Pelodiscus sinensis: one gene and its partners. The protein of the gene in region 3 purifies or fractionates together with the protein of the main gene of each other region. This does not show direct contact. Links are inferred from orthologs where the notes say so. Each region holds a gene or a part of one and is shown on either strand. Other genes may lie near its edges.

Region 1 (7,472 bases), on a different chromosome or scaffold from region 3:
GGGGGGCACGTACCTCCACTGCCGCTGCCAAAGCCGCCCCCTCCGTTGTTATAGCCGTCGTAGTTGCTACTGCCACCGTAACCTCTGCTTCCTCCTGAGTAGCTAGGGCCGCCACCGCCGCCGCCACCGTAACCTACAAGACATGCACACACACAGCTGCTGAATTCAAGCATTTCACAGCCCAAAGTCCACGGACAGAACTAGAGACTCCCCTGAGCACGGATCCCAGCACGTGTGCTGGTCAATCAAGAGATTTGCCTCGGAAACCGTCACCAATCCGTGCAACACACTCAGCACAACTGTTCTATCAGCCGTCCACCAGGCCAAGGGACTGGAGTGGAGATGCCTTCCTCATGCTTCTTCCTGGGCTTGGCACCATGGAGCCTGGAAACAAGGCAACCTTGGCCACTGCCGTGTCAGGGGAGTTATGCTTTGGCCTTACCCTCATTGCTAAATCCATTATAGCCGTCTCCACCTCCTCCATAGCCACCACCGCGGCTGCCACCAAACCCACCTGAAAAGAACAAACCTTTGTGTTCAGTCTATCCGAGGAGGGACACTGCCAGGTGCTGGGGCCCAGGGCATATGGTTGGCAAGCCACTTTTACAGAATGAAGCAGACATGTCAATTGGTGGAGGTTGTTGCAGGGAATCAGGGATTCCAAGCGGTACCTGAACAAGTCCTTGTAGCATTGGTTTGAACGCATGAGCCAAACAAGGAGAATTACACTTAGTCCAGTGCCCAAATCAAGTTAAAAAAATATCCATAGCCAAAACTGCAGCAGCCATTTGGGTTAACCTAGGGGCCGAAACTGGAGTTTTGTTAGCCTGACCATATCCGTAGAACTTGAATCAAAAGGACCCCATAAAGTCCCTTACCACGACCACTGAAGTTGCTGCCACGGTTGAAGTTGTCATTGCCACCAAATCCACCTCCACGGCCGCCACCACCACTGAAGTTCCCAGAGCCACTGCGGCCTAAAGAAGAGAGCAGCGCCTGTTAGCAGCACGGCTCATATTGCCAAAGGTCGGTTTGGATGAGTTCCAAAGCAATGGATGGGAAACTGGCACTCACCTCGTTGACTGGATGATGCACTGGCCATTTCTTGCTTTGACAGGGCTTTCCTCACTTCGCAGTTGTGGCCGTTCACAGTGTGATACTTCTGAACTGGAAGGGAAGAATTAGACGTTAACTGTCACCGTGTCCTGATTTGAAACCCAGGACGGGTCCCCTTCCAATGCTATACAATCTTTACAGTTCACAGAGCTGTGCAGAGAACTTACTAACAATCTTGTCCACAGAGTCGTGGTCATCAAAGGTGACAAATGCAAAGCCCCTCTTCTTGCCGCTCCCACGGTCTGTCATGATCTCAATCACTTCGATTTTGCCGTACTGTTCAAAGTAGTCTCGCAGGTGGTGTTCCTCTGTGTCTTCCTTAATTCCCCCCACGAAGATTTTCTTCACTGTCAGGTGAGCACCAGGCCTCTGAGAATCCTAGACAGGACAGAGGGCAAGCTCAAGCATTATCTGAGATGTACAATTTTAGAGCTCCATAAACAGTGGTTCGAAATGCAACAGTCCCATTGCTCAAAGACAGAGACAATGCAAAATCGTGATACGTGTCCACCACAAATTAAACTGGTCCCCATTTACAATTACTTGTACAGGATGCATCTCTATAAACCAGAATGGTTTAACCCTAACCCTTCCGGGCCACAGATGTTCCAAGATGTCCCAGTCCTGGCACACTGTGGGGGGTCCAGGAGCCTGGCCGAGGGAAGGGGGGGGGGGGAAGAGAGAGAGAGAGAGAAGAGGCAGGGCAAAAGCTGGTGTGGGAGCCAGCTGAGCTGTGAAAAAAGCGAGGGGGTGGGGGTGGGGGAGACAGCAGGGGGCCAGAAATGACCTGTGAAAAATCCCTCATCTGGGATCAGTCGGGTCCCAATGGTACCGGACAAGGGAGGTCCAACCTGTAGTAACTACTAATGTGGTCCTGCTTTAAGTACATATTCTGGTAGACAGCACAGCAAGGAAACGCAGCATTGGCAGTTACAGACAGCACGATTAATGTAAGCAGGGTACTGCTTTCCCCAAACCACAAAGAGAATGGAAACGACCCACCTCAGTTTAACCCCTGGGTTATAGCCAAACTATGGTCACTTTAACCTCAACTCCTCCCTACAGAGCCCCACTGGATCAGTTCATCCTAACAGTGAGCCAATTTCAGGCTATGAAAACAGCATGGTTAGACTAAACATTCATTCATACCTCTCTGGATACAGCCCTCTTTGGTTCAACAACTCTGCCATCAACTTTGTGTGGTCTAGCATTCATGGCGGCATCAACCTCTTCAACCGTAGAGTACGTAACAAACCCAAAGCCCCTGGAGCGCTTGGTATTTGGATCTCTCATTACCTAGAAAGGACACACCTCCATTAGTAACCACAGTAAATAACACGAATCAAACAGGTGGCATAAAGACGAGAACAAAGGAACATCTAAAGTTATTTAGCACTAGCTTTGCCCTACAACTTTCCCTCTGCCCAAAGCTGGGACCTCATGGATCATTTGGTAATTTCCCTGTTCTGCTCATTCCCTCTAAAACTGCATTTGATACCAGCCACCCTTGGAAGACAGAGGCTACTGGACAGCATGGCCATTCCTCTGCAGGATTCCGTCTAACCCTAAATTTGCCGTTAGACCCCTTACTCCCCTGGAACAGTAGTTTACAGATGTCAGTAAAAACAAATTATTCAGCTCTTCCCGTGGCATCAAAAAAAAAAAAAAAAAAAAAAAAAAGGCAGCCGGGCCATGCAATCAGAGTCCTTCCCCCACATCTGAATGTTATTATCTAACACCCAGAGGATGCTCTGGGCCAGGCACTCACCACGCAGTCTGTCAGCGTGCCCCATTGCTCGAAGTGGCCCCGCAGGCTCTCGTCTGTGGTCTCAAAGCTCAGGCCGCCGATGAAGAGCTTGCGCAGCTGCTCAGGTTCCTTGGGGGACTGGGGAAGAGGCACAAAAACGAGTCAGGAAGGAGCAGCCAACAGGGCCCGTCCCCTGCTCCCCCCTCCCCAGGAGATGCCCAGAGCAAGAGATTGCACAATGACTTACAGGCTACCCTCCCCCCCCCAGAGGGCCCCCCCGTGCACACCAACCCCCCCACCCCCTCCCCCCGCAGAGGGCCCCCCCCTGCACACCAACCCCCCCACCCCCCTCCCCCCGCAGAGGGCCCCCCCCTGCACACCAACCCCCCCTCCCCCTCCCCCCGCAGAGGGCCCCCCCCGTGCACACCAACCCCTCCCCCCGCAGAGGGCCCCCCCCGTGCACACCAACCCCTCCCCCCGCAGAGGGCCCCCCCCGTGCACACCAACCCCCCCTCCCCCTCCCCCCGCAGAGGGCCCCCCCCGTGCACACCAACCCCCCCCTCCCCCTCCCCCCGCAGAGGGCCCCCCCCGTGCACACCAACCCCCCCTCCCCCTCCCCCCGCAGAGGGCCCCCCCCGTGCACACCAACCCCCCCTCCCCCTCCCCCCGCAGAGGGCCCCCCCCGTGCACACCAACCCCCCCTCCCCCCTAGAGGGCTTGCAGCCCTGGCGCGCGGGAGCCGCCACGCACGCGCACGCGAGGCCCGCCACGCGCTCGCCCGGCCGCCATGGCGCTCCTCCGGCTCTGCACAAAGGCGGGCGCGCACGCGCACATGGGAGCGCGGGAGGCTCACTCCCCCCCCCCATATCCCCACCACACAGGCGCCGAAGGGCCGCCCACCTGGGAAGGGGGGTAAAGCGCAGGCGCGAAGGCTGAGGCGGCGCAGGCGCAGAAGGGGGGGGAGCCTCCGCGGGCTGGACGGAAGCCCGAGCAGGCCTGAAAGGCGTAAGGCGCGGCCGAACGCGGCGAGGTCCGCGCCCCAGCAGGGCCCAGGGGAGGCCGCGCCGGCGGCGGGGAGCGGAGAAAATGGCGGCCGGAGCCGGGCTCACCTCGGACTTGGACATGGCGGGGGCGGGCGGGCGCGGGCCTCCGCCTCAGAAGTGCTGCGCGTGCGATGCTTCCTCCGCGAGGCGCCGATACAGAAAGGGCTGAATGACGAGAGCGTCGACGCCTCACTCCACCGCCCCCTCTTAGAGCCCCGCCCGCCGCGCGCTCCCATTGGAGGCGGCGGTCGGGGCACACCCCCTCCCCGCCTCCGATTGGATAGCCACGAGAGGCCGACACATCTCATTGGCGGAGGAGATCCGTGACCCACCCACTGCTACAGCCTACTGGCTAAGCCTGCGTAAGCCCCGCCTATTGACGCATCACGTGGCCGTGCGTGCCTTCCCTCCCTTCCTCCCTCCCCCAACCTTTTCCCGCGTTACTGGCGAGAGGCTGTAGCTCGCCTCTGATTGGTTCGCTCATGGACAGTCCCGCTCTAATCTGCGCAGTGATTGGCTGCTGCCGCTAGACGTGGGACTTGACTGGATGGCGGCAGTGTCAATCACTCGGGTGGGGGCGGAGGCGGCTCCCATTGAGGCGGGGGGCGAGCGGCTTTTTCTCCCTAGCACCAGCCCGCGCGCTTTGCCTCTGTGGAACGTGCGGAGCCGGGCTCCTGCCTGGCAGCCTGCGGGAAAAAGGGACTAAAGCCCACAGGTGCTCGTCTGCGCATGCGCTAGCGGAACCCGGAGCAAGCGCCCGAAGAGGCGGGGGGAGGGAGAGGACGGGCCGCGCATGCGCCGTGCGGGGAGCCAGGCGCCTGCGCGCTAGGGGGGCTATTTTGGCGGGCGGCGAGCGTTGCGCAGAAGCGGCCTCGGCTCTGAGGGCCTGCGAGAGGGGGGAGTCCGCGCCGGACCCGCTTCGTCCCCAGGTACCCGGGCGGCGGCGGGGCGGCTGAGCCGGGACATCGGGCTGCTGGGCTCGGGGCGGAGGGGGAGACGGGCTCATTGTGCGGAATGAAAGGGGTTAGGGGGCGGGCCCGCGGCCACTGACGGACAGCTCGGCCGGCCAATGGAGGGGCGGGGGCGGGGCAGAGGCGCGTGACGGGCAGTGGGGGGTGCTGGTGCCCGTCGCGCGGGAGTTGGGAGTGGCAGCCGGCTGCGCCAATGGGGCGCCGCCTGGGGGGAAAGGGCGGGGCCTTCCCGGTTGATTGATGGCGCGGCGGGCCAAAGGGCGCGCGGTGTCGGGTTGTTTCCTCCCGATGGGCGGGACAATCGGCGCCCCGCTCTGGGCTGGGGGGGGGAGGCGGCTGGGACACGGGGCGCGCCCCCGAGTCTGGGCTGGGGGAGCCGAGCCCCGCCCCCTCGCGTCCCCCTCGGCCTCTGCCCCCCCCGCTCCCCATCCCCCGCCCTGCCCCCCCCGCGGGCGGTGCCCCCCCATCGCCCCGCCCCCCGCTGCCTCCCCCCCGTGCCTCTGCCTTGCCCCCCCCACCCTGCCCTTTCCTCGGCCTGTGCCCCCCCCGCCCCCGTGCTACAACCCCCCCGTGTTGTGCCCCCCATCCCCTCTCTGCGCCTCCCCCCCGGCCTCCCGCAGTCCCGCTGTAAATCCTTCGTTCTGCTCCCGCCCCGCATTCCTGCGCTCCCTTGTCCTGGAAACTTCTCAGCTCTGTCTCTGCCACATCTCCTGTGCTGCCCTCTCCCCCCGCCCCTCCTCCTCCCTTTCCCACCCAGATCCTTGTCAGCCCCTCACTGCTCCTGCAGCCCCCCTCGCTGACTCCCCACGAGCTTCTCATGCTGCTCCTACCCCTTGTACTAGCTGCCCTGCCCTGTCCTGTCCTTCAGCCCCTCTGTTCCCTGCAATAGTCCCTGTGCTCCCCCTCAACCCTTCCCCTGCTGTTTTTCCCTGAGATCCCCTCCATTTCTCTGTCAACAGCCCTTCATCTGGGGTTCTCCCTATCCCCACTTGCCTGCTGTTTTAGTGAGAACCGAACCTGGGACCTCTGGATTAGTGTGTCAGCAGCTTGAGCTAAAAGCCAGCTGGTTCTCTGCAACATCTTGTTCCCTACTGCTCAGTCCCTCCTGGATATCTATAAATCCCACTAACCACAATTCCTGCTAATCCCAGTCTCCTGCAAACCTCCCCTCATGCACTCCCTCCAATGCCCTGCATCCTCTGTGTCCATCTCTTGGATCCCCTGCAAATCTCTTCCTCAGAAAAATCCTCTGCAACTCACCCCACCAGCTGCCCACCACAGATCTTATATCCTCCCCCCAATCTTCTGCCACGCACCCTCTTATGCTTGTCACTACCCCCCTGGGATCTCCTTCAACTTCCTCCCCAAGATTCCCTGCAATTCCCCTATCTCCCCCCACCCATGTCCTGCAAACAATCCCCCAGCTCTACTGCCCTGTCCCCTGAAAACATCCCCCCCCCTTTAGCCCTCCTCATCTTCCCACACAAAGATCTATAGCTCTCAGGCAGCCCTTTCTCCCCTCAAACAACCCTCATTCCTTTCTCTACCTTCACCATCCTCTGTAACTGCCCATCCATGGCTGCCTGATTGGGGGGCCACAAACTGTACTCTGCTCTGCAACCCATTTTGCCCCGCCCGGCCCCTACTCCACCCCTTCCCCAAGCCCTGTCCCTGCCTTGCCTCCAATGCAACCCTTTCCCAAAGCCCCTGCCTCCAGGTGATGCTATCTGTGAGATTACAGGGGGTTTGGCATAGGGCAGCAGCAAGGGTCAAGTCCCCCCCCCCCCCCCCCCACTGTGTACCCAGCAGCATTTTCTCTTCTGCCCTGCTACCCATCTCCTAGCTGAGTCACTCCATTTCCTGCTGTTGCAGCGAAGTGGAACCAGAGTCACTCCACTTCCTGCTGCTGCAGTGAAGTGGAGCGAGCTAACTGGGAGATGGCGGCAGAGTGGAGCAGGCTGCCTGTGAGTGGGATAGGGATGCCAACCTTTGCTACTGCCCAGAGCCAGCCCTCCTCCTCTCCCCCTCCCCCAAGTTATCCTTCAGACCCATCCTGGACCTTGTGGGCTAATGTCATTATGAGGGACCATCCCGTCTGTAGGACGGGTGGGGCAGCTACAGCAGGCTCTGGGGTTTGTCTGCACATGGGAAAATTAATCTGGAATAAGACAGGATGTGAAGTTATAGTGGCTCATAACTATCTGTAACCCACTGTTTCTTCTTTGTCCTGTGACTGTAGTAGAGTTAGTTGCTCACTTCTCTCTGCGGGTGTGTCTATACAGCACTCTTCACTCAGAATTAGCTACACAAATTGCGCTACGCAAATTGCATAGCTTATTTTGAGTGTATTTCAAAATAACTCACTATTCCAAAATGCCCCATAACCCTCATGGAACAAGGGTTACCAGGACGTCGGAATAAGCGGCCTGTGATTTCAAAATTGATTTCGAAATAACGGGCTGCTTCAATAGACATGGAATAGCTATTTTGGGATACTTCCGGTATCCCGAAATAGCTCTGCAGTGTGGATGTATCCTGAGTGGCCGCTTGCAATACATGTTTACTCCTTACCTGTTCTACACTTGTATTTAGCTG
Region 2 (7,257 bases), on a different chromosome or scaffold from region 3:
CTGGTGGGCGGTAATGTTGGGCCCAGTCGTGCACCATCCCATTTTTGTGTACATAGCCTCTTCCAGCTCTGAGACCAGGGGACCTGCCCTAGATGTGGCCGTGAGGATGTCACCTGAGCCTGAACGGTGTGGTAATTAGGCTACAAGTGATGCAGGGGCCACATATTGAGAACCACTTGTTAGACAAACACCTATCAGGGATGGCCTAAATAATACTTCGTCTTGCTTCAATGCAGAAGCCTGGATTAGATGACCTAGCAATGTTCCATTCTGGTTCTGTTTTTACAATTGTACATATAAAACTGGGAAACATCACAAAAGCTCCTTTTTAATTTTGTAGAACTTAACATGTACAAGTATATTTCTTCTACTTTCTGAGATTGACAATGGACATATTTTCTATCTTTTTTCAAGGCCACAAAGCTTGTTCTTTCCACTGAGGTGGTTTAACTAGTCCTTCTCTCAACCATAATTATGACATTATTAGTAGTAGTAGTAGTAGTACTAGTAGTAGAAGTCCAAAACACTGCAATAACATTTTTGTATGATGTAGTGTCCTGGAGCATTACTGTGGTATGTTTCAGTTAACAAGCCTTTTGGATGGGCAACTAATTGCTCAATTTACATGGTCTTTGACAGGATTGGGCAAAAGGGCCTCTGGGGGCCAGATCTGGCCCACCAAGCAGGTGGATCTGGCCTGCGGAGGCTCTGCTGCTTCCCCGCCCCCAGGCCAATTAAGGATTTGAGATGGGGGAGTGCCCGATGCCTTTTCCGCTCTGCCCCCGCCCTGCGAACAGCGTGCGGCAGGGGCAGAGCGGAGAAGGATTTGTGTGATCCCCGCCCCCAGGCCTTAATTGGCCTGGGGGCGGGGGAGAGCATGAAGCCTCCTCCCGCCCTGCCAGAAGCATGTGGCTCTTTGTAGCGCTATATGCTGCTCACGGGGCGGAAGAGGGGGGATGGGAGAGAGCAGAGGAGACTTCGTGCACACCGCCGCCCGCAGGCCAATCAGGGCCTGGGGGGTGTGGGAGCTGCATAAAGCTTCCTTCGCCCTGCCCAGCCTTGCGAGGAGCCCAGGGCACTTCATAGTGTCATGTGCTCCTAGCAGGGCGGGAGGAGGCTTCCTGTGCTCTCCCGCCCCTAGGCCCTGATTGGTCTAGGGGTGGGAAAGCATGCCAAGCCTTTTCCAGGGCATGGGTGCCTAGTGGGAAGAGGGGGCAAGGGGCTCCTCCATCCCCAGACCAATCATGGTCTGGCGGTTGGGTAGCCCTGCCCCTTCCCATTTAGGCCACATTCAAAAACGTTTGCAGTGGCCCCCGGGGAAAAATTATTGCCCACCCCTGGGCTTTGATCAATACTATAATGGCCTTTTACTTATCTGGTGTAGACTGGTGAACTAGCTGAATTTGGATTAGGCCATGGGAGAAGGGAAAGCAACATGTATAAGGGAGGATATTTGAAAAGCAAGAATGTGTTACAGAAGATTGACAATGGAATAGAGAACCCAATTATGAGGTTTTTAGATTCCATAGCAGTTGAATGTTCCTGGCTGAGAGGATGAGCTGCTTTCTGAAGATTCTATGGTGGGAAAAGAGAAGCAGTAGATTTCAAAGCAATAAAATATCAAAGCAATAAAATGTAATTTGATGGTATTTTGTAACCATTAATAAAGTATTTTATTTAAACATTGTCTTTGCTAGGAGGGTTTCCCTTGCATAGGTATACTAAACTTAGTTAAATTGCAAAACCCTCTTGTTTTTTATCTGCAATTAGAAGCTTTGCTGGTATAGCTACAGCTGTACTAAGGTTTTTACCAGCTGAGTTATGTAGGCAAAAATTACACCCCTAACTAACATAACTATGATGGGAAAACTTCTAAGTCTAGACCAGGTCTGTTATGTTTATTTTTAGTTACATTAGGCAGTTCACAAATACAGAGGATAAGGTAGTTTAACATTTTTTTTGTATTATTGAATCGCTTATTATGCATCAGTCTAAATACAACAGGATAGGAAAATGTCTGATTATTGGGAGATTAGTTTCAACAGCACTTCAGACTCCTCCAACGTATCTAGGTGTTCAGTTTCCAAACATGTATATCTACATAGGCTCATCTCTTGGCGCATGTCTACACAGCAGTGTTAGTTCGGAATAACTGACATTATTCCAAAATAACAAAGAGCACATCTACACTATTAGCCTTTATTGTGAAATAATGTCGAGCTGGAGCACTTCTTACTTCAACTCTAATAAACCTCATTTTATAAGGAGTAAAGGAAGTTGAAGGAACAATGTTCTTCCTTCTACTTCCTGCTGCGTAGATAGCGCCTAAAGTTGAGCTAAGCTATTTTGATTTAAGCTATGTAATTGATGTAGCTGAAGTTGCGTAGCTTAGTTCGACTTTAGCCCTGCTGTATAGATGTACATACTAATCCAAAGGAGAAACAGACAAGACAAGAAGTATTACATGAGTCAGAAGATGGTGATTTTTTTTCTTTTTGCTTTAGTGTTTGTTACTTTTCCTTGTCATCCTTCCATGATCAATGTGTTTTAGTACTTGTGGGCCTCATTAATAAATGTAATAATTTACACTCTATTACAGGTCTTTCTAGCTGCAGTTTAATAAAACAATGGTTAGTAAGTCTGTCACATACTTAAACCTTGGTTTCCTATTTACTACCCATCCCACCAGCTATCTGCAGTTGTGATTTGGAACTCTCTGTGTGAGAACCCCTGCTCCAGCTGATGCTAAACACTTCACAAAGTATCTTTGAATACATCCCAGTCTCATTTAAGGAAACATTAATCTCTGAAATTAATAGAGAAATGTTGTATTGTGGATTCTTACATGGATCCCATTGTTACAAAACTCTTTTGACATCTTGCCTTATTAGTGTTCTAAAGTAGAGGAGGAAAGTCTACTTCAGTTTCTCTGGTATGTATAGAAAGGTATTATGTAATTCACAATGTTGTGGGTAACAATTTTAAAGAGCAGTGAAATACATAATGATTAATGTGGATAAAAGAGCAGAGCACTCCACTTTAAGATAAATAGGTGAAGGTGAGTTTCAAGTTATTATTAATTATTAATTAATAATTTAATTTAGAAGCTTGAATGCTTGTCCAAGACTGATTGTCTCAGCGGAAGTGAAGCCAATGAAACTCTTGGGCCTTATCCCCAGAAATGCAACTTATTCACCATTGAAAAGTTGTGTGCATGTATCTGTGGAAAAATATGGACCTTTTATTTAAGAGCAAATATAAAACATAGTTTGGGTGGGGAGAAGAGACAGCTAGCTCCTAGGTGCCCGTTCCTACTTCTCATCTGCCCAAAGTTTTTTCTTCTGAAGGTTCAGTCATCTGTGTCCCTCTTCTCTAGTTTTTGACCTCCATCCTTGCTACCTGCTTCTGCTTCCTTCCCAAGGAGTTTATCAGTTTTGAACAAACCACCTGGATACCTCCATTATTCAATCATTTCTTATCTGAACCCCAAATTTGAAGCTGTAGAGATTTAATCTTATGTCGTGGCTCAGCCTAGGATATGCCATGAATTTTTGTGATCTGTCTAGTTCAGGTATAAATGTATTAGTTAATCTGAAGTAAAACTTAATTAAGTAATTGCAGATAAAAGACAAAACAATACCAAAAAACTCCTTGTAAGCATTTTGGAGAATTACGGTTTGAATAAACTGAAGTTTATATATATATATATATAGTATAATGATCTTTTGTGGGCAAAACCCACTTCTTCAGATGAGATGATGAGAGGATCTTGAGTGGAGGGAAAAAAAGGGGATGTAGGGTTCTGATACTCTATGATCATTTGCCCAAGTGCCAGTCAACCAACCCAACCATTTCACGCTGTCTTCATCCAAGGCTGACAAGAGCTGCAACCAGCCGAGGGCTGGCATATTCCTAGCTCTAATTCATTAACTGTAACAATCGAGAAGTCTTTCAATTAAATCAGCACCTTTGCTGCAAAGGAGATTCCATGGAAAGATGGAAATTCCCTAATTCAAAGTGCTCACAAGCCTCAGCCTGGCAACTCCGCTATCTAATCCATGTCCATGAAGCCACAGCGAGTCTTCTCCAGATTAACTACAATTACCATAGTGCTTCGCGCAACGGCCAACCACACCAACTGCGTTCGGCGGGGGACACGCCCACTCGGGCCAATATGCACCAATAAGCGGCGCGAAGAGCCATGCGGCAGGCACTTGGGTTGCGTTGTGTGGCGTGCGGGAATGGCGCGGTTTTACTGAGGGGCGGGCAGGGGGAGGAGCTGCCGGTGGTGGCGGCAGAGGGAAGGGCGGTCCCGGCGCTCGGCGGCATCTCGGGGGAGGATGCCGGTCCATTCCCGGGAGAAGAAGGAGAACAACCACGATGAGATGGAGGTGGATTATGGGGAGAACGAGGGGAGCTCCTCGGAAGAGGAGGAAACTGAGAGCTCGTCCGTGTCCGAGGAGGGGGACAGCTCAGGTACCGGGGACCAGGGGCTGATTACAGATGCTGGGGCAGGGCGGCCGCTCGCTCGCTGGATAACGGTGCGCGCGGGGTGTGGGTGTAAGCGACTGTTAATGCCTTCGCCACAGTCTGCCCCAGCCCCCACCCGGCAACATCTGACCCCGCCCCTCCGTACGGCACCGTCTGCCCCGCCCTCCCGACACGCCCCCCCCCCTCTCCCACGGCTCGCCCCCGGCTCCCCTGCGCTGCAACTTCCGAATCGCTCCTTGGAGGAGCCGGGGCGTGCAGCCCCCCCCCCCTTCCCTGCTGGGCAACTTGTGACACACACAACCCTTTACTGGGGGCTCGGCCTGCCTGTCCCGTCTGCATGGTAGCTTGTGGATACATCCCTTCTCCCTTGTATGGCAGCGTATGGGTCCCTTCTAGCTAAGGGAATGGCCTTCCCCTTCTTCCCTGCTTGGCTGTTTCTGAGGCGCTTCTTTTCCCAAGGATACCTCCCTGCCCGCCGTTCATTCTCTTTACCTCGTGGTCACATGCTGTGCTACCATGCTCCCTCTGCATGTCAGTTTCTTCTTGCCCTATTTGCCTGATGTGGGGGCACTTTCCCTTTCTGGCAGTTTCTGACATATGCCCTTCCTGACATATGCCCTCTCACCTTCATCCTGCTCCTTCCCTGTATGACAGCTTTTCCTTATCTACCTTTCCTTGATTTAGGGGGTCACTGTCAGCTTCTTTGCCCATGCCCTGCATAGTACCTTCTCCTCAATCCCGCACCCCCACCTTTTGATATGGGAAGCAAAGCGCAATCTCCCCTCTCCATTTACTGCACTGTAGCATCTTGTCCCCTCCCAGGAGTGTGTGTGTGTGTGGGGGGGGGGGAGGGTATATTTGCCAACTCTTGCATAATATTGTCTTGTTCCCCATTTAAGGCTTTTTGAAACTGTTTAAAGAAACTCTAGATAACTTGTTATGAAAAGTTCCATAGAAAAGACTTGCCAAAGAATAAGTATAAATTTTAAAATACCACATATCACAATAAATATCCGTTAATAGTAGTGGTGGTCCAGATATGAAATGCACAAGATGGGTGAAGTGATGTCTTTTATTGGACCAACATCTGTTGGTGGACAGTACAATCTTTCCAGTAATACAGAGCTCTTCTTCAGGTCAGGAGAAGGACTTCAAGAGTGTCTGAGCTAAATACAAGTTGGGACAGACAAGCTTAGGGGTTAATGAATAATATATGCCTTCCAGCAACATAAGTTGGTTCAATAAAAGAAATACCTTAGTGTCAATTTTTCTGTTGTTTTTTAAGTTACTGTATTGCTTCTAATAAGCAAAAAGCGAGGTTGAGTTAAATAGCAAATTCTGCTTTAAAGCAAGAGAAGGAGGTTTGGCTAAAATGACATTTTGATAAGCTCACAAATTATTCCCAATTCTTACCTTCAACTTCAGCTGCTTTATTTTATCAACAGTTGTCTGGAAGTTAGATAATCAATGCACTCTATGCTTGAGAATCAAGATTCCTCCAAGCTCACTCCCTTGAGTTTAGAAATGCTATATTAGTGATGGATGTCAAAGTCACAAGTTATGTTCATCATTCCAGTATCTCAGTTTTGGCCACATTTTATAGAAGAGCTAGTTCAGAATTTTACTGTTGGCGCTGTTTTTACTATCTCCACCTTTAAACCAGGCTGCTCTAATTACCGTGTGTGCCCCCCCCCCACTCAGTCTTTGAATGGAGAAGAAATTTTAGAAACCTATCCAACTTACCAAAACAATTCTGCCATGCGTAAGTGATGATTTTTAATGTCAGATACCTTGTGGTATCCCAGGTCTAGAAACAAATGATCTTGTGAAATGAGGGATTTGATATCCCTGTCTCTAACTTCTTGCATGATGGGTAGTGAAATATCTGATACTAAACCAGTTACTTTTCTAAGACTGACTATTACCCATCGTGCTTGTCAAGTTTATGCACCTTCAGGGAAGAAATATCACATTTTGGGAGTTGAATATAATAAACTACTGGCAGTATTTTTAAAGATACTTTGTAGCTATTTGGAGTTTTGAAATGTTACCAATAATCCTAGTGGAGATGGATTAGTTGGCAGAGTGCAGGTGAGGTAGTCAGAGGTTCATGATAAATCCAGGTGAACATGAGGGTGATTTCATGTGTGATTGTATAAGTGAAACTCTGTCTTCTGCTTGGTGGAAAGTCAGACTTGCTTGAATATGTATGTATGTATGCAGCTATAGAAATGGAGGGCCTATGGTTGTATTAGTTGCAGTTGGAGGAGGGTACTATTCTCCCACATCTCAAGGTGGTGCATTCCACATTGTAGCAAATGACAGGAGTACACATCTAAGCAACCCAGTATGCTGTGCAGAAAGGAAAGGGTCCAGAGAACCACTGATTCTCAGGCATGATTGGAGTTGATGTTGCTTATCTTGATTTAAACTCCCTTGACATCTGTTTATAAAGTAAACAGCTGCTGATTAATTTAAAACAAAGCAATAGTTACAAAAATACTGAAATATATCTAGAACCTAAAACATACTGGAGACCCATCTGAATAATGGAAGATATTTTAACACCTTGTTTGCCTTTCTACTTTTGTGAGGCAGACCTCCCGAGGAGTAAATTGATGGGGTAGTTATATTAAGGATGTTAAAAAGCGGGTAACTGACTAATCAGGTAGTTGATACAATTTGTATCGACTACACGATTAGTCAATAAGGGGCCCTGAGGCTCTGCAGTTTAAATATGATAGGAGCCAGGTGTGCAGGCAGCCC
Region 3 (7,120 bases):
CGACTTTATCAGATGAATTGGAGTGGAAGTTATAGAAGCAGGGGGTATATTTAAGGAAGAAGTTGCTTGTGTGAATGAAGCTAATCAAGTCAGGGTGGAAGTGGGTCATTTATAGCATTTGTATGGAGATGTGAATATCCAGAGAGGAGAAATTGCCTTTGTAATGCGGTAACCAGTTGAGATCCTAATTCAATCCTAAATTGATAGTGTTGAATTTGTAAATGAATTCCAGGTCAGCTGTCTCCCTTTGTATCCGGTTTTTTAAATCCGTTCAAATCCATTACTGACTGTCCAAGGAGGTTAAAATGTATCCCTACAGGTTTATGTGTGTTACCATTCCTGAACTTCATTACAAAGGCAATTTCCCCTCTCTGAATAGTCACATCTCCACGTCAAATACTATGAATAACTAGGTTGACCATACATACTGATTTTTCCGGGACTGTCCTGATTTAAAGGACTCTTTCCTGGTCCCGCATCAAGTAGTGAAATGTCCTGGAAAGCCCTGCTGGAAAGTCCCCCACTACTTGACGGGGACTCAAACGGGAAGAAGTGACTGTGAGTCCATTGCTCCAGGTGCGGCGCAGCATCAACAGCGTGTTCCCAGCTGGGGCGGGCTTTTGGTGGCACGTAGTTTCTGACCACTTCATCACCCATTGCCCCACCACCGCACAGCCCCCTTCTTACTCCATGGGACTGCCTCTGTCAGATGGGGTCCGGGTCCAGCTGTACAGCCTCCTCCTCCACACGTGCAGGCGGTGGCTTGTTACAGCAGCCACTCATGTTGGGAGAGAGAGGGTGGCTGAGTAGGGTTGCCAGGTGTCCAGTTTTGAACTGGACAGTCCAGTATTTGAGCTTTCTGTTCGGGAAACAAGTTGAGAAAATAGAAACGAGAAAATAGAAATGTCCGGTATTTTCTAAATAAGATGTAATGTAGATTGTGATGTCATATCAAGTGTGTCCGGTATCTTTATTGAAACCATCTGGCAACCCTATGGCCGGGTCCAAGGTCTGAGTAGCCGCTCCCGAACTTTAGCACTTTTGAACTGCTGCCTGAGCCCCGGCAGGGGACGCGCAGAATCCTTGGGGCGGGCTGCCGCTCTCTCTCCCCCGCACCCCTCCCCGCCCCGCTGGGGGAATGGCAGTGAGCCTGGTCTGGCGAGGTATGTTGGGGTTTCTTCACACACCCCCATGCTCTGTCAGTGGGAAGCCTGACCTGGTGCTGCAGCCCCGTGGATGCACTGGGATCCCCGCTGCATGTGGGGGGGGACTGAGTTCCTGTTCTGTTCCCCCCTGCAGGGGGAATGACAGCGTGCAGTCTGGAGGCTTTCCCTGCTGCAATGGGGTGCCAAGCCAGATAAGCACCCCCCTCATGCTAAGGCCCCGCACCCAAATCCCCCTCACTCACTCCCCTCCCCCCTCTAAGATCCTGCATTCCTGGCTTGCTCTGACACCCTCCCTTGCTCCTGCACTCTCCCTCCTGGCCAGACACCCTACCCCAAACCCCTTCCTGTACATTCCTTCCTGGCCAGACATCCTCCCTCCTGGCCAGAAACCCTACCCCCAGACTACTCCTGCACCCTCCTTTCTGGTCAGGGACCCTATGCCCAGCCTGTCTCTGCACCCAACCTCCCACCCAGACGTCTCAACCTCTCCCCTTTCTGCACGTACCTCCCAGATTCTGAACCTCATCCCTATCCCACACATTGGCAGCCCTGTCCTGCACACGGAACCCCCTTTTTTTTCCACGCCTGAGCCTAGGCTCACCATGGGCAGGGGCTGCTCAGGCCAACAAGGAGCTGAGCCCTTCACGACGGGGTTGCTGCCGCTAAGCAGCCCCTGTTCACAGTGGCCTGGGCTGTCTGACGTGAACAGGGGCAGCTGGACTCAGCGCAAGCCGGGACCAAGCATTCCTGGCTCGTGCTGGTTGCTACACCTCTGAATTTTAAATGTACTAAGAGTCCGGCAGCTCTTACTACATTTAAAATGCAGAATTGCAGTCTGGGTGGCTCCCAGACCCGGCACGAGCCAGGACTGCTGAGTCTCAGCTTGAGCCAGCTCCTGAAGCTACCCTCAACTACACGATTAGCTTGATAACCGCAATTTAACATCCTTTCCTTGAACCTCGTTCCTCTTGGTCCCATCCCCTCACCCTGTGGGGCTAGGATGCCAGAAGAGTGAGGTGTCTCAGTTAAGGGCCAGCTCAGTGTGGGTTGGGGGTTTTTGGAGGAATTTTTTTGCTTCTGGCTTGTGTGGCCCCCAGCTGATTTTTTTGTGGGTTAGTGGCCCCCCAACCCAAAAAAGGTTCCCCCCCCTGCCATAAATAAAGAAAAAATTGAAACCTTTTGTGTTGGTCATAAATTAATATTTTACTGTATTTAAAATGAAGTTTGATAAACTAACACAAGAAAGTTAAAACGCTTAATCTATTTAACAATTTAAGTCAAACCATTCTCCCTAGCTGCAGCACTAGCAAAACGGCTTGAGAGTAATTACGTAATTCACAGTGAGTTTCCATTAGCAAATGGTGGTCTGCAGAAAGGTTTACACTGAGCCAGGTGGTTCATGGGCCAAAAAATTTGAGAGCCACTGAAATACAGGCAACCCTGGCCTCTTCCCCCGAGTTAATGCAATGCAAGTTGGATTAATGCAATTTCAGTATGGTTGCATGGGAGGGTCCTATGGGGGCCAAACCCATCCCTATTGGCAGAGGACAGTGGGAGGAGTTCTTAGAGGCGTCACACGATACCCTTTACTTCCAGTCATGTGTCCATCTTAACCCTGGAAGTACTACCTCCGGGGGTGGGACTTTATGTAGCAGGTGGGCAGGGACTAAGAGATCAGGGGATGTGGCTAATGAGGCTGGGGGCGTGGCCAATGTGTCCTTTTTTTGGTTCAGAAAATATGATCACCGTATGAATAATCCACTTTCCCCCCCTGGCTTGATTAGCTTCATTAACACAAGTAACTTCTCCCTTATATATACTCCTGCTTTTGTAACTTGCGTTCCAATTCATCTGATGAAGTGGGTTTTACCTACGAAAACTTATGCTCTAATAAATCTGTTAGTCTCTAAAGTGCCACAGGACTCCTCATTGTTTCTGCAGACACAGATTAACACGACGACCCCTCTGATAGTGGTAGTAGTGTTGGAACACTAGGTGGGCTTTACCCTTCGGTCACTTGCTCAGATGAGTACCATAGTACTGGCAGATGGGACACGTCCATGCAATGACACGGGATGACCCCAGCTATTAGGGGAAATGCACTTAATGCAGTGCCAGGCCAGAGCGTTGCAGGGATGCCCATCTGGAAATAGTTTTCCACAGTGGTACCTGCAGGAGGGGGTGCAATGGCTTATCCCACCCCCCAGGCTGACCCCAACTGAGGCACACACAAGGGCTAGAAGTTGATACTCTATAGGCTACGTCTAGACTGGCATGATTTTCCAGAAATGCTTTTAATGGAAAAGTTTTCCAAGTTTTCCGTTAAAAGCATTTTCGGAACAGAGCGTCTAGATTGGCATGGGACGCTTTTCCGCAAAAGCACTTTTTGCGGAAAAGCGTCCGTGCCAATCTAGATGCGCTTTTCCGCAAAAAAGCCCTGATCACCATTTTCGCGATCGGGGCTTTTTTGCGGAAAACAAAGCTGAGCTGTCTACGCTGGCCCTTCTGTGCAAAAGTTTTTCGGAAAAAGACTTTTGCCCGAATGGGAGCAGCATAGTATTTCCGCAAAAGCACTGACAATCTTACATGAGATCGTCGGTGCTTCTGAGGAAATTCAAGCGGCCAGTGTAGACAGCTGGCAAGTTTTTCCGCAAAAGCAGCTGATTTTGCAGAAAAACTTGCCAGTCTAGACACAGCCATAGTGTCTGTATGCAGGTGACCACTGGTTGGTGACTGGCCCTTTAAGAAGACCTGCGCACGAGCCAGGGTCCATGTCCCCCTAGATGCCCTACACTGGAAAATGGCGGCTCCCAGGGGAACTTCAGCCGCTAGCGCCTTCCCCCCTCCCACGTGATCCGGAGAGCGCGCTCACCGCCCCTCTGGACCCGCCCCCCCCGAGCCCGCTCCGGCGCTCGGATTGGCCGCGCGGGCCGGGCAGTGGGCTGTGATTGGCGGCCGATGGCGCGAAGGGCGCGCGGCGCCGGAGCCGCACGCAGGGGGCAGGAAACAATAGAGCGGCGGCTGGCGGGGACGGAGGGAGGCGAGGAGCCGGCTGGCCGCACCGCCTGCACCTTCGCCATGGCGGACAAGGAGGGTAGGCGAGAGCGCGGGGCTGAGGCGCGGGCCCCCGGCCGGCTGGGGGCCCCTCCCCCCTCCGGGGGACGCGCGCGCTGTGCTCCTACCTCAGGCTGTGGAGAACCTGCCGGGGGGAGGGGCTGCCTCAGTGGCGGGGGGAGGGGCCGCGCCCTCGGTCTCTGGGGAGCTGCTCTGAGCCCCCCCCCTTGCTCCCCCTTTCCCCCCGCCGAGACACAGCCCTCCCCGGAAGGGCTGGGGGCGGGGCTCCGCTCCGAGGCTGGGGACGGGGGCGTGTCTCCACCCGCGCGCGTCTCTGTTGGGGGGGGGGGGGGTCAGGCCGCGGCCCCCTCCCGCCTCCCTCGGGCGCGCCGTCCCCGCCAGGGCCTGCTCCAGTGGGGGGGGGTCACCTGGGGGTCTCCAGGAGGTTCCCTTCCGGGGTCCCCCCCCCACTGCGGGGCCGCGCAAGATGCGCTCCCGCTCCGCGCTCCCTGGGGGGCTGCAATGGGCCGCGAGTGCGCTTGGCTCGTGCCCCCCCCCCGCTTCCCTGGGCCGCCCCCTGCTGCTGCGCGCTCTGCCCCGAGGGGAGGCCAGGAGGCTGCCACCTGCGGCCCCCAAACCTCCTCGGTCTGCGTGTTGGGCTCCGATCTCGCTCAGGCTGCTTTGGGGATGTTGAACGGGTCAGCATCCCCCTTGCCCCCGGTTACCGTTAACCTGGAGCAGCCCCCGGCCTGATGCGGGCAGGGACTGTTCCCGCCCAGCGGGGTCTGCCGCAGGTGGGGGACGCTCAAGCCTAGCATGCGACGGGCAGGTCCGACCGGAGCAGCATGGGTGCGCCTCAATCTGGTCCCATTTAAGCGGTTAACTAGTTAAACATCACTTTTAACCAATTAACACATGAATTGGGGTTTTGCATCCTTAATCTGGAGTCTAATCCCATATTTACTTTGGCGTTTTTATGGGATTCCTAGGTCGCTCGAACCTGCGTAGTATTAAAGAGATTTATTTTTTAATGTTCAATGAAACCACTTTTACAGGAAAAAAAAATGCTGCTCTAAATTGTGGAGAGCTTTGCACCTTCTTTAAAGTAACTTTTAGTGAAGGGTGAGTTGGTAGGTGTAGATTCAACTCATCTGTCTCACAAAGAGAGATGGACAGGACTCTATTGGTTGATTTAGGACTAGTAGCCTTAATGGGGCTGTTTCTAGTATGAAGTGAGCCCAGGCATTGCTTCCTTGTGTATTTAATTTGTATTGCTTCCTACAACTATTGGTTCTAGATTAGACTTCTTTATCTGAAGAGAGAGGTGATTGCATGTGCTGCAGGAGTTTTTTAATCTAGTAGTTGGCTTTTTGTGGAAGTATGGTGTATGCATCAGTAGTGTTGCTATCAGATAAGCCAGGGGTGGGGAACCTCATGCACAGGGGCTGCATGCACAGGGAACTGTCCTCTGGCTTGCCTGGATCCAGCCCCTGAGGCTCAGGGCCCCCCTGCTTCATGTTGGGGAGTTTGTGCTAGTGCTTCAGCCCCCCCCCCCCCCCACTGCAGAGCTGGAGCACACAATCTACTAAACTGGGCCCTTTCAAGGCTCTGGTGTGTGAGAGGAGAGGTGGGGAGTCTTTCTCCTTCTCAGTTTGCGGCCACGTCAGGGTGTGTGAAGATTTTGTTTTTGTTCTCACCTGTGTGTGTGGCCCCTGACTGACTTTTTTCTTCTTCTGTGGGTCAATGACCCCCCCCCCACCCAAAAAAGCTTCCCCATGTACATTCATTGTCTTGTTGACCATTTATAAATACTTGTCCATATTTTTGTGCATCTTTAAAAAACTTTAGCAGCCTTTGATGATGCGGTGGAGGAACGTGTGATCAATGAGGAATATAAAATTTGGAAAAAGAACACTCCTTTCCTGTATGATCTGGTAATGACCCATGCTCTGGAGTGGCCCAGCTTGACTGCTCAGTGGCTTCCTGATGTAACAAGGTAAATTTATCCTCTGACTTTTTGAATGATGAAAAAAGTCACTATCGCGTTTCACATTGCATCAAGACTCTGTAGTTGCTGTCTTCCATGACCAGCAATTTGTGCTCTTGCCTTATCCTTAGTGAGTTGAGGACTGTTACGGCACACCATGTTAACCAATATCTCCACTCCTTTTTGTTTAAAAAATGAACTGCTGTTTGGCAGAATATTTTCACCTCTATTTAAAGTACAGCCGGTCCCCTGCTTACTGACAAGTTACGTACCAAACACTTGGTTGTAACTCCATTTGTTTGTAAGTCGGACCCCATTCGTTTAAATGCGGCCGTACTGTTCGTAAGTGTGGATCGTGTTCGTAACTCGAGGACCGGCTGTATAACTGTTCTCTGATCTCTTCCTGTCCATCCTACCCCAGAGACAAACTTAAAAGTAATCACTGTCATCCCCCTAAATTACTGAACCAATTTATTTTCCATCTTCTGCTTGTTCAAAGTGCTAATAAACCTCAAGACTTTACTCCACTAGAAGCTCCTTGGGGGAATATCAGAGATACTATAGATGGGCAAAGAAAACAAGTGAACTTTGATGCTATAAGGACTCCAGTATGAGAGAGGACAGTGGTCTCCAGCCTTTTTAAGCACAAGCTCACTCTTTGAATTTCAGTCCAGGATCTACCTGAAACCCAATTACCCCTGCTTCACCCCTTCTGCAAGGCCTCACCCTCCTCACTCTGTGAAGATGGGGTACAGAAGAGGGGGACAGAGTGACATCAATGCTTCCCTGCCTCTTGTCTCCCCCATTCTGCACAATAAGCAGGAGGCTCCTGGAGCAGCTCAGGGGCTCTGGGCAGGAGCAGCTGGGCAGTGAGGGGGGACAGCTAAAGTGCTGCAGGCACTTGAGAGCCTCA
Region 4 (7,105 bases), on a different chromosome or scaffold from region 3:
TGGTCTACCTTTGCAAAATTCACTGCAGAATTCTGGCTATTGATACACACAGCTGTAATTCATTAGCACACATATTGTGCTTCTTATCTTCAAAACAATTTAGTTGCTAATTCATTACCGCTCTCTACACCTTGTGAAGCAGTAAGAATTATTGTCCAGTGTTACAGACAGAGAAACTGAGGCAGAGAGTCTAGTGACACATTCCTTGTGTCAGAACCTGGGCTTCAGAAGTCAGAAGTTCCTGGTTGTGTTTCAAATTAGCATATTGTGCTGAGAGAGATTCCCTTTTGTTACCTCATTTTAAAAACAAGGAAGAACAAAAAGTATAGAAAATGAACCAGAGACTAGCTAAGGTGAGACTCACATTAGCAGATGTTAACCCACACCTGTCAACTGGTTTACAGATACCACCAGGCTAAACAACCTCCTTGATGTACCAATCACTCTAATTCCCACTGAAGTAAATGTGGTGTACAGGTCTTCAGCACTGTACGGGATCATGCCATACATGAGCTATCTTTACATGTACACTTAAATCACAGCTACCTATTTGTATATACTAGTGGAGCCAATAATGTATATGCAAACTTGAACCAAACACTGACCAGTCTGGGGATGTGATTATTTTCTACCGCTAATGTACCTGATGCAAAGTGCTCCACTTAGGAAGGAACAATCAGTTTCACACATAGGCTACGTCTACACTGGCCCCTTTTCCAAAAGGGGCATGCTAATTTTAAACTTCAGAATAGGGAAATCTGCGGGGGATTTAAATATACCCCGCGGGATTTAAATAAAGATGTCTGCCGCTTTTTTTCCAGCTTAGGGAAAAGCCGGAAAAAAGCGTCTAGACTGGCCCGATCCTCCAGAATAAAGCCCTTTTCCGGAGGATCTCTTATTCCTACTTTGAAGTAGGAATAAGAGATCCTCCGGAAAAGGGCTTTATTCCGGAGGATCGCGCCAGTCTAGATGCTTTTTTCCGGCTTTTCCCCAAGCCGGAAAAAAAGCGGCGGACATGTTTATTTAAATCCGCGGGGGATATTTAAATCCCCCGCGGATTTCCCTATTCTGACTTACCTGCTTTGCATCCCTTTTCTGGAATTTGGGGCCAGTGTAGACGTAGCCCTACAGAATGGGAAGCGACTGTCTAGGAAGGAGTACGGCAGAAAGGGATCTAGGGGTTATAGTGGACCACAAGCTGAATATGAGTCAGCAGTGTGATGCTGTTGCAAAAAAAGCAAACATGATTCTTGGATGCATTAAAAGGAGTGTTGTGAGCAAGACACGAGAAGTCATTCTTCCGCTCTACTCTGCGCTAGCTAGGCCTCAGTTGGGCTATGTCTATAGTCGCGGCTTCTTGCGCAAGTACGGCTGTTATTGCACAAGAATCTGCAGAGCGTCCACACTGCCCGCCCGCTCTTGCGCAAGGAAATTTACAGTACGGCGTGGTAAGAGAGGGCTCCTTGTGCAAGAATTACGCTCTTTTTTATCAGGTGTAAGCCCTTTTGCGCAGGAGCTCTTGTGCAAGAGGGCAGTGTGGATGCTCAGCAGGGATTTCTTGTGCAAGAAAGCCCTATGGCTAAAATGGCCATCAGAGCTTTCTTGCACAAGAGAGCATCTACACTGCCATGGGAACTCTTGCGCAAAAGCACAGCTTGCACATGGGCAATGTGGACGTTTTCTTGCACAAGACTTCTTGCACAAGAAGCCTTGTGCAAGAAGCCGCCAATGTAGACATAGCTTTGGAGTATTGTGTTCAGTTCTGGGCACCGCATTTCAAGAAGGATGTGGAGAAATTGGAGAGGGTCCAGAGAAGAGCAACAAGAATGATTTTAGAGAAGAAGGAAGGTCTAGAGAACATGACCTATGAAGGAAGGCTGAAAGAATTGGGTTTGTTTAGTTTAGAAAAGAGAAGATTGAGGGGGGACATGATAGCAGTTTTCAGGTATCTAAAAGGGTGTCATAAGGAGGGAGAGAGAAAACTTGTTCATCTTGGCCTCTGAGGATAGAACAAGAAGCAATGGGCTTAAACTGCAGCAAGGGAGATTTAGGTTGGATTTTAGGAAAAAATTCCTAACTGTCAGGGTAGTCAAACACTGGAATAAATTGCTCAGGGAGGTTGTGGAATCTCCATCTCTAGAGACATTTAAGAGTAGGTTAGATAAATGTCTATAAGGGATGGTCTAGATAGTATTTGGTCCTGTCATGAGGGCAGGGGACTGGACTCCATGACCTGTCGAGGTCCCTTCCAGTCCTAGTATTCTATGATTTTATGATCTACACTCGAGTTACAGGTGCAGAAAACCAAGTTTTAGTTTTATTACCTGTTGATACATCCTGGGCAGATCACTGATCCATTGCTTAGAGCCCTGGAAATGTACTTTAATCTCTCTTAGGAGCCTTCCTAGTTGAGTAAACCTGCTGTTTACCAGTTCAACTGCATAGGTGTCTCTGCCCCCAGTTGCTTACAGTCTAAGTAACGAATGAACAAAGCAAATCTAAAAGGAACATGTCTGCAGTTATTGGATACAAACTTTGGCCCCAATCTTGCAAAATTCACCGTAGGATTCCAGCCATTGACACACATTCTTGCATCTGACAAAGTGTTTTTTAACCACAAAAGCTGCCCAAATAAATCTGTTAGGCTGTGTCTACACTGGCCACTTATTCTGGAAAATCAGCCGCTTTTCCGGAATAACTTGCCAGTTGTCTATACTGGCCCCTTGAATTTCCGGAAAAGCACTGACGATCTACTGTAAGAAATCAGCCGCTTTTCCGGAAATACTATGCTGCTCCCGTTCGGGCAAAAGCCCTTTTTCCAGAAAACTGTTCTGGAAAAGGGCCAGTGTAGACAGCACAGTAGTGTTTTCCGCAAAAAAGCCCTGATCGCAAAAATGACGATCAGGGCTTTTTTGCGGAAAAGCGCGTCTAGATTGGCCACGGACACTTTTCCGGAAAAAGTGCTTTTCCGGAAAAGCATCCTGCCAATGTAGACGCGCTTTTTCCGGAAATACTTATAACGGAAAACTGTTCCGTTTTAAGCATTTCCGTAAATTCATGCCCGTGTAGACATAGCCTTAGTCTTTAAGGTGCCATAGGATTAGTTGTTACTGTCTACAGGTGTTCAGGACCAGTCATGGCTCATTGTTTTCCTGTTCTTCCCCCATCTTCCTGAAGCCATCAGTATATTTGTCTTGTATATAGATTATAGATAAGACAACAAGCTGTTTGGGCTGGGACCTGTCTTTTCGTTCTGGGTTTGTACAGCGCTTAGCACAACAGGGTCCTGGTCCATGACTACTAGGTGCTACAATAATACAAATAATAATAAGTCCTATGCATTTGTATACAACAGTTGTGGAGAAGAGAACGCTCCTTCCTGACGCTCACCTTTTCACTAAGCCTTTCCCACTGCTCTTCCAAAACAGGTTCCTGTGCTCTTTGTGAGAGTCTTGTCCTGCATGGGTTGGTATAGCAGTGTAAAGTAGAGGATTGAGATTTGGGAGACCAGAGCTCCCCAGTCTGCCACAGCTCTCAGGCAAATCATTTATGCTCCGTGCCTCAGTTTCCCTATGAGGGTAATATATCTACTTCTCACCCCAAGGCCTGTTGCAAGGGTCAGCCTTGCGTGTTTGCATGCTGTCCTAAGAGAGCAGGGTGAAGACAGTAGACAAGTAGGATAATGGAGTTACAGGAGTTAATGCTTGGGTGGAAGCTGCTAGGACAAGGCACAGTGTATCAGAAAAGACTCACTCGCGGCGCTGCCTGCAGCCGGGCTGCCAAGGCGGGAATCACGGCACGACCGCACCGCTCCCTTGGCCCTAGGACTTTGCCTTTCCAAAGTGCTCCTAGCACGGTAACAGGTAGGCTCCGAAAGTGCTTCAAGTGCAGCGAGACATGAAAGCGAAGCGGCTGCGAGCGCTAACTTCGCTCCCCGACGTGCAGGCGCATGTCCCACGGACCTGAGCGGCGACCGGGCACCGAGCTCCGCTTTTGCACAAAGCCCTGCGTGTTTTGGGGAGAGGGCGTGACCTAGGTTGCAGGTTTGGCTCCAGCTTTCCCGCCCCTGATAGGCGGGATCGAAGTGACGCGTTTGAGCGAAAGGCCAATCTCGCGTGGGGGGCGTTCCCATCCATTCAGGACTCCTCGCCTGGGCTTTGAGGGTATGTAACAGCTGCTTTCAATTTAGTCGCAAAAATATTGGGCATTTTGAGGGTTGAGGTGAGGATTTAAGACCTCCCGGCCCAAAGCAGGCCAGAACCCGAGGGGAGAAAGGGGGCGGTAGGAGGAGCTGTTGCGAATCAGGGTGGGCGAGGGACTGAGCTGGCGGATCCGTTGAGGAAGAGAGGAGAAATTAAAAGCCGTTTCCCCCTGGGTTTAGCTTTGCCTTTTGCCCTCGTCTCTGTCCGGAGATCCGAGAAGAGCAGGCGTTTGGCCGGGTGGTGTGCGTGCTGCTGGTGTTTGTTTAACAACGCGCTGGGTTCCATGCAGTTCGGGGGAAGAAGGAGGAGGAGCAAGGACAGCTCGGTTCCCCCGCCCCTTATTTTGCTTGGCATAAACAAAGCTGCGCTGCGGGTCGGGGTCCCGCGAGGAGGTTTAGGAGTTTGAGGAGTAGATTGAAGGGTGACTTTTGCAGCTCAGCTCGGTGCGTGGTTTTGCAGGCGCTGCCAGAGCGTGGATCTAGTTTACAAATCCCAAGGCCGGATGTCTTACTCGCAGGGAGGGCGGAATCGGCACCCGTAGATTTGTGCTTCTCTACGTGAAACTTGTTGGGGCGGGGGCGGGTGAATGGATCTGCCAAGAGGCAGCCGCCTGCAGGGGGGCGCGGGTTGCAGCTCCAGCTTCCCTCTCTCTGAACTGGCAGCTGCGTGATTGTTATTTTTAAAATCACGCTAAAACGAGCGTAGCTGAAGCCCCGCTGGTCCGAGCGGAGCCTCTCGCAGCTGCCGTGGCGTTCCGTTGCCGAACGCAAAGTAGCCAGGCGGGGGGTGAACGTTCCACCGCCGAACCCGCTAATGTTCTGTTGCCGAACGCTCGCTAGTTCCTGTGCCCCGAACCCACTTTGCGCCCCAAGCCGGAGCAGTAGCCTTCCTGCTCTCATCCCTCGGCGGATTGAGCCTGATTCCCTTTGCAAACATGGAGTTGCATCTTTCCACCCCGCCTCCTCTGCCGGTGGGAGGGAAAGATGGACAGCCTCGGGGTAGGGCTATCCCCTTTTCTCTCGCAGTCGGCTGGCCCTTGCTGCTCTCGTGCACGGTGGCCCAGAGTAGTTTCAGGCAGCAAAAGAGCTGGGAAGGTCGGGAATGGGGGGGGGGGGGGGGGGGAATTGGTCCGGCTCTGACCCGAGGAAAGGAAACGCTGCAGATAGGGCGATCATCAGCTGCAGGAGACAGGGAAGGAGGTTTAGGGTGTGGAGTAATCTGCCTGGAATTAACTACCGCGACGGACAGGCCCTCTCCATGGTGGACTCGCGGTTCAAGGGAGGAAAGGGCTTTCCTCGTGCTACCCAAGTGAGTGAGGCCGCGCGCCGGCCGCCAGCAAGACTGGCTTGTGCGGGGCGGAAGCAGCTGGCTGGAAAGGGAAGGGTTAGCGTTACAGTTTACAAGGCGTGGATTTGGGGAGGAAAAGGAGGGGACTCTGCCTCTCCAGCCCAAATGCGGGAATCCACTTCCGCGTCCTGCCAGCCTGAGCCGCTTTCCCTCTCCTTTGCTATTTGCTCCTTCAGCTATGCAAGCGGCGTTCCCTACCGAGCCACTGCAGGGGAGCTGTTAGAGTGAATACGCAGCACACGCACTGCCTCCCCCTCCGTACAGTCACTGGGCGGGATGAGCCCTTCTCCTATTGGAGAACTAGAGCCATCCCTTCTTCCTTATTGGCTAGGATTCCTAAATCGCTCCGCCCAGCTGAAGTCCTGGCTGTTTTTCAGGCTGGTGTTCCCCTCCCCTCCTACCCCAAATGGCAAAGGGCTCCCTAATTCCGGCGGGGCGAGGGAGGAGGGATGTTTTCCTCTCCTTGGAGCTGATTGGTAGAAACGAAAACATCGACCCACCTCCTTTCTGTCTCCGAAAGGGAGGGAGAATGGGGGAGGGGGAGAAGGCAGGTCCGGTGTCTCCCCCGTCCTCCCCCCACGTGTAATAGATCCGCCCCACGTGGGGCGCAGCCATCCCGGAAGTGAAGCTGCGCAGTTAATGCGGGGCAGGGCTTAGGGACAAAAGGATTCTCCCGCAGATCAGTCAGTTGATGAGCTCCCCGGCAAAGGGAAAGGCATTCCTTCCCCCATCCCCCGACAAGCTCTCCTGCTGGGGGTTGGGCCACCTGCTAGGATGCCTCTTTCCTAATCAAATCCCTCCTCCCCACAGCAAAGGGCAGCGGTGACTGTTTAGGATATTTTCGGAGGGAGCTCTCTCCCTGCACGCTATCCCAGGCCAGCTTCCTGGGGGGGCGGGAGAGTCATCCCAGCTTCCTTCTCTGCTCTTAAAGCTTGGTAGCAAAAACACTTGGCGGCCCTGTTTCCTTGCCCCATGCTTCACGTTTTTCTTGAGCGGGAGAAGTCCAGACTGGGCTCACTCCGGAGTTTTTTAACTCGGAGACTGTAAGGAATCTACCTGGCACAGTATCTCAAATACTAGAGATCCCCGCTTATGCGTCTATGCCCCGCACTCCGCCCCATGCTCTGCCCAGTGCGCCCCCGAGGTGGACAATTGAGGGGGGAAAAAAGCAGCAGCATGAATCGAGCCCCCTCCCCCACCTTTTCCCAATTTCTTTTCGCTCCTTCCAAGTCCAGTTTGGTGCCAGAATGTTTGGACTGCCTCGAGGAAGCATAGTTGCTTCTTTGCCCCTTCTCTGGGATCTAGCCGGAAGGTAGAGTTGTGGTCCAATGCTTGGTTCTACCGCCCCTCCCCGCTCCACTCTTTGTATGGGAAAGACTTAAGGGAAACTTTTCTCCAAACATTTTGTTAAGGTGTCGGTGGCCTCCCCCAGTACTGGTGTCCTGAGCGCGTACCAGCTCCTCCCCTGCTGCGATTCCTTTCAGATCCTTGATAGATTAGCCCGTCACAAGCCGACTATGGGTTAAAGTGGCCGTAAAGCACTTTTGCTGTGGATC

What was found. Proteins that work in one complex are often made in the same cells at the same time.
Region 1: the proteins of RBBP4 (region 3) and CBX5 purify together in Homo sapiens (affinity purification with mass spectrometry; 6 studies listed by BioGRID and IntAct, with this or other methods). This does not show direct contact. The link is inferred for Pelodiscus sinensis from reciprocal best matches to the Homo sapiens genes RBBP4 and CBX5.
Region 2: the proteins of RBBP4 (region 3) and BRMS1L purify together in Homo sapiens (affinity purification with mass spectrometry; 5 studies listed by BioGRID and IntAct, with this or other methods). This does not show direct contact. The link is inferred for Pelodiscus sinensis from reciprocal best matches to the Homo sapiens genes RBBP4 and BRMS1L.
Region 4: the proteins of RBBP4 (region 3) and SIN3A purify together in Homo sapiens (affinity purification with mass spectrometry; 11 studies listed by BioGRID and IntAct, with this or other methods). This does not show direct contact. The link is inferred for Pelodiscus sinensis from reciprocal best matches to the Homo sapiens genes RBBP4 and SIN3A.

The regions. Positions count from the first base shown.
Region 1 is NC_134729.1:1,218,492-1,225,963, reverse strand, and holds the start of CBX5 (chromobox protein homolog 5), read left to right. Parts: upstream 1-4,466; 5' UTR 4,467-4,621; intron 4,622-4,702; exon of another isoform or gene 4,703-4,835; intron 4,836-7,472. Other genes in the region: HNRNPA1 (heterogeneous nuclear ribonucleoprotein A1), read right to left, coding at 14-133, 443-514, 879-977, 1,075-1,167, 1,284-1,494, 2,266-2,412, 2,885-3,001, 3,614-3,697. UniProt on the Homo sapiens protein: Component of heterochromatin that recognizes and binds histone H3 tails methylated at 'Lys-9' (H3K9me), leading to epigenetic repression. In contrast, it is excluded from chromatin when 'Tyr-41' of histone H3 is phosphorylated (H3Y41ph).
Region 2 is NC_134714.1:47,686,229-47,693,485, reverse strand, and holds the start of BRMS1L (breast cancer metastasis-suppressor 1-like protein), read left to right. Parts: upstream 1-4,251; 5' UTR 4,252-4,340; coding exon 4,341-4,476; intron 4,477-7,257. UniProt on the Homo sapiens protein: Involved in the histone deacetylase (HDAC1)-dependent transcriptional repression activity. When overexpressed in lung cancer cell line that lacks p53/TP53 expression, inhibits cell growth.
Region 3 is NC_134735.1:3,390,356-3,397,475, reverse strand, and holds the start of RBBP4 (histone-binding protein RBBP4), read left to right. Parts: upstream 1-4,101; 5' UTR 4,102-4,124; coding exon 4,125-4,260; intron 4,261-4,348; exon of another isoform or gene 4,349-4,476; intron 4,477-6,068; coding exon 6,069-6,216; intron 6,217-7,120. UniProt on the Homo sapiens protein: Core histone-binding subunit that may target chromatin assembly factors, chromatin remodeling factors and histone deacetylases to their histone substrates in a manner that is regulated by nucleosomal DNA.
Region 4 is NC_134724.1:34,507,273-34,514,377, forward strand, and holds the start of SIN3A (paired amphipathic helix protein Sin3a), read left to right. Parts: upstream 1-4,099; 5' UTR 4,100-4,163; intron 4,164-7,105. UniProt on the Homo sapiens protein: Acts as a transcriptional repressor. Corepressor for REST. Interacts with MXI1 to repress MYC responsive genes and antagonize MYC oncogenic activities. Also interacts with MXD1-MAX heterodimers to repress transcription by tethering SIN3A to DNA.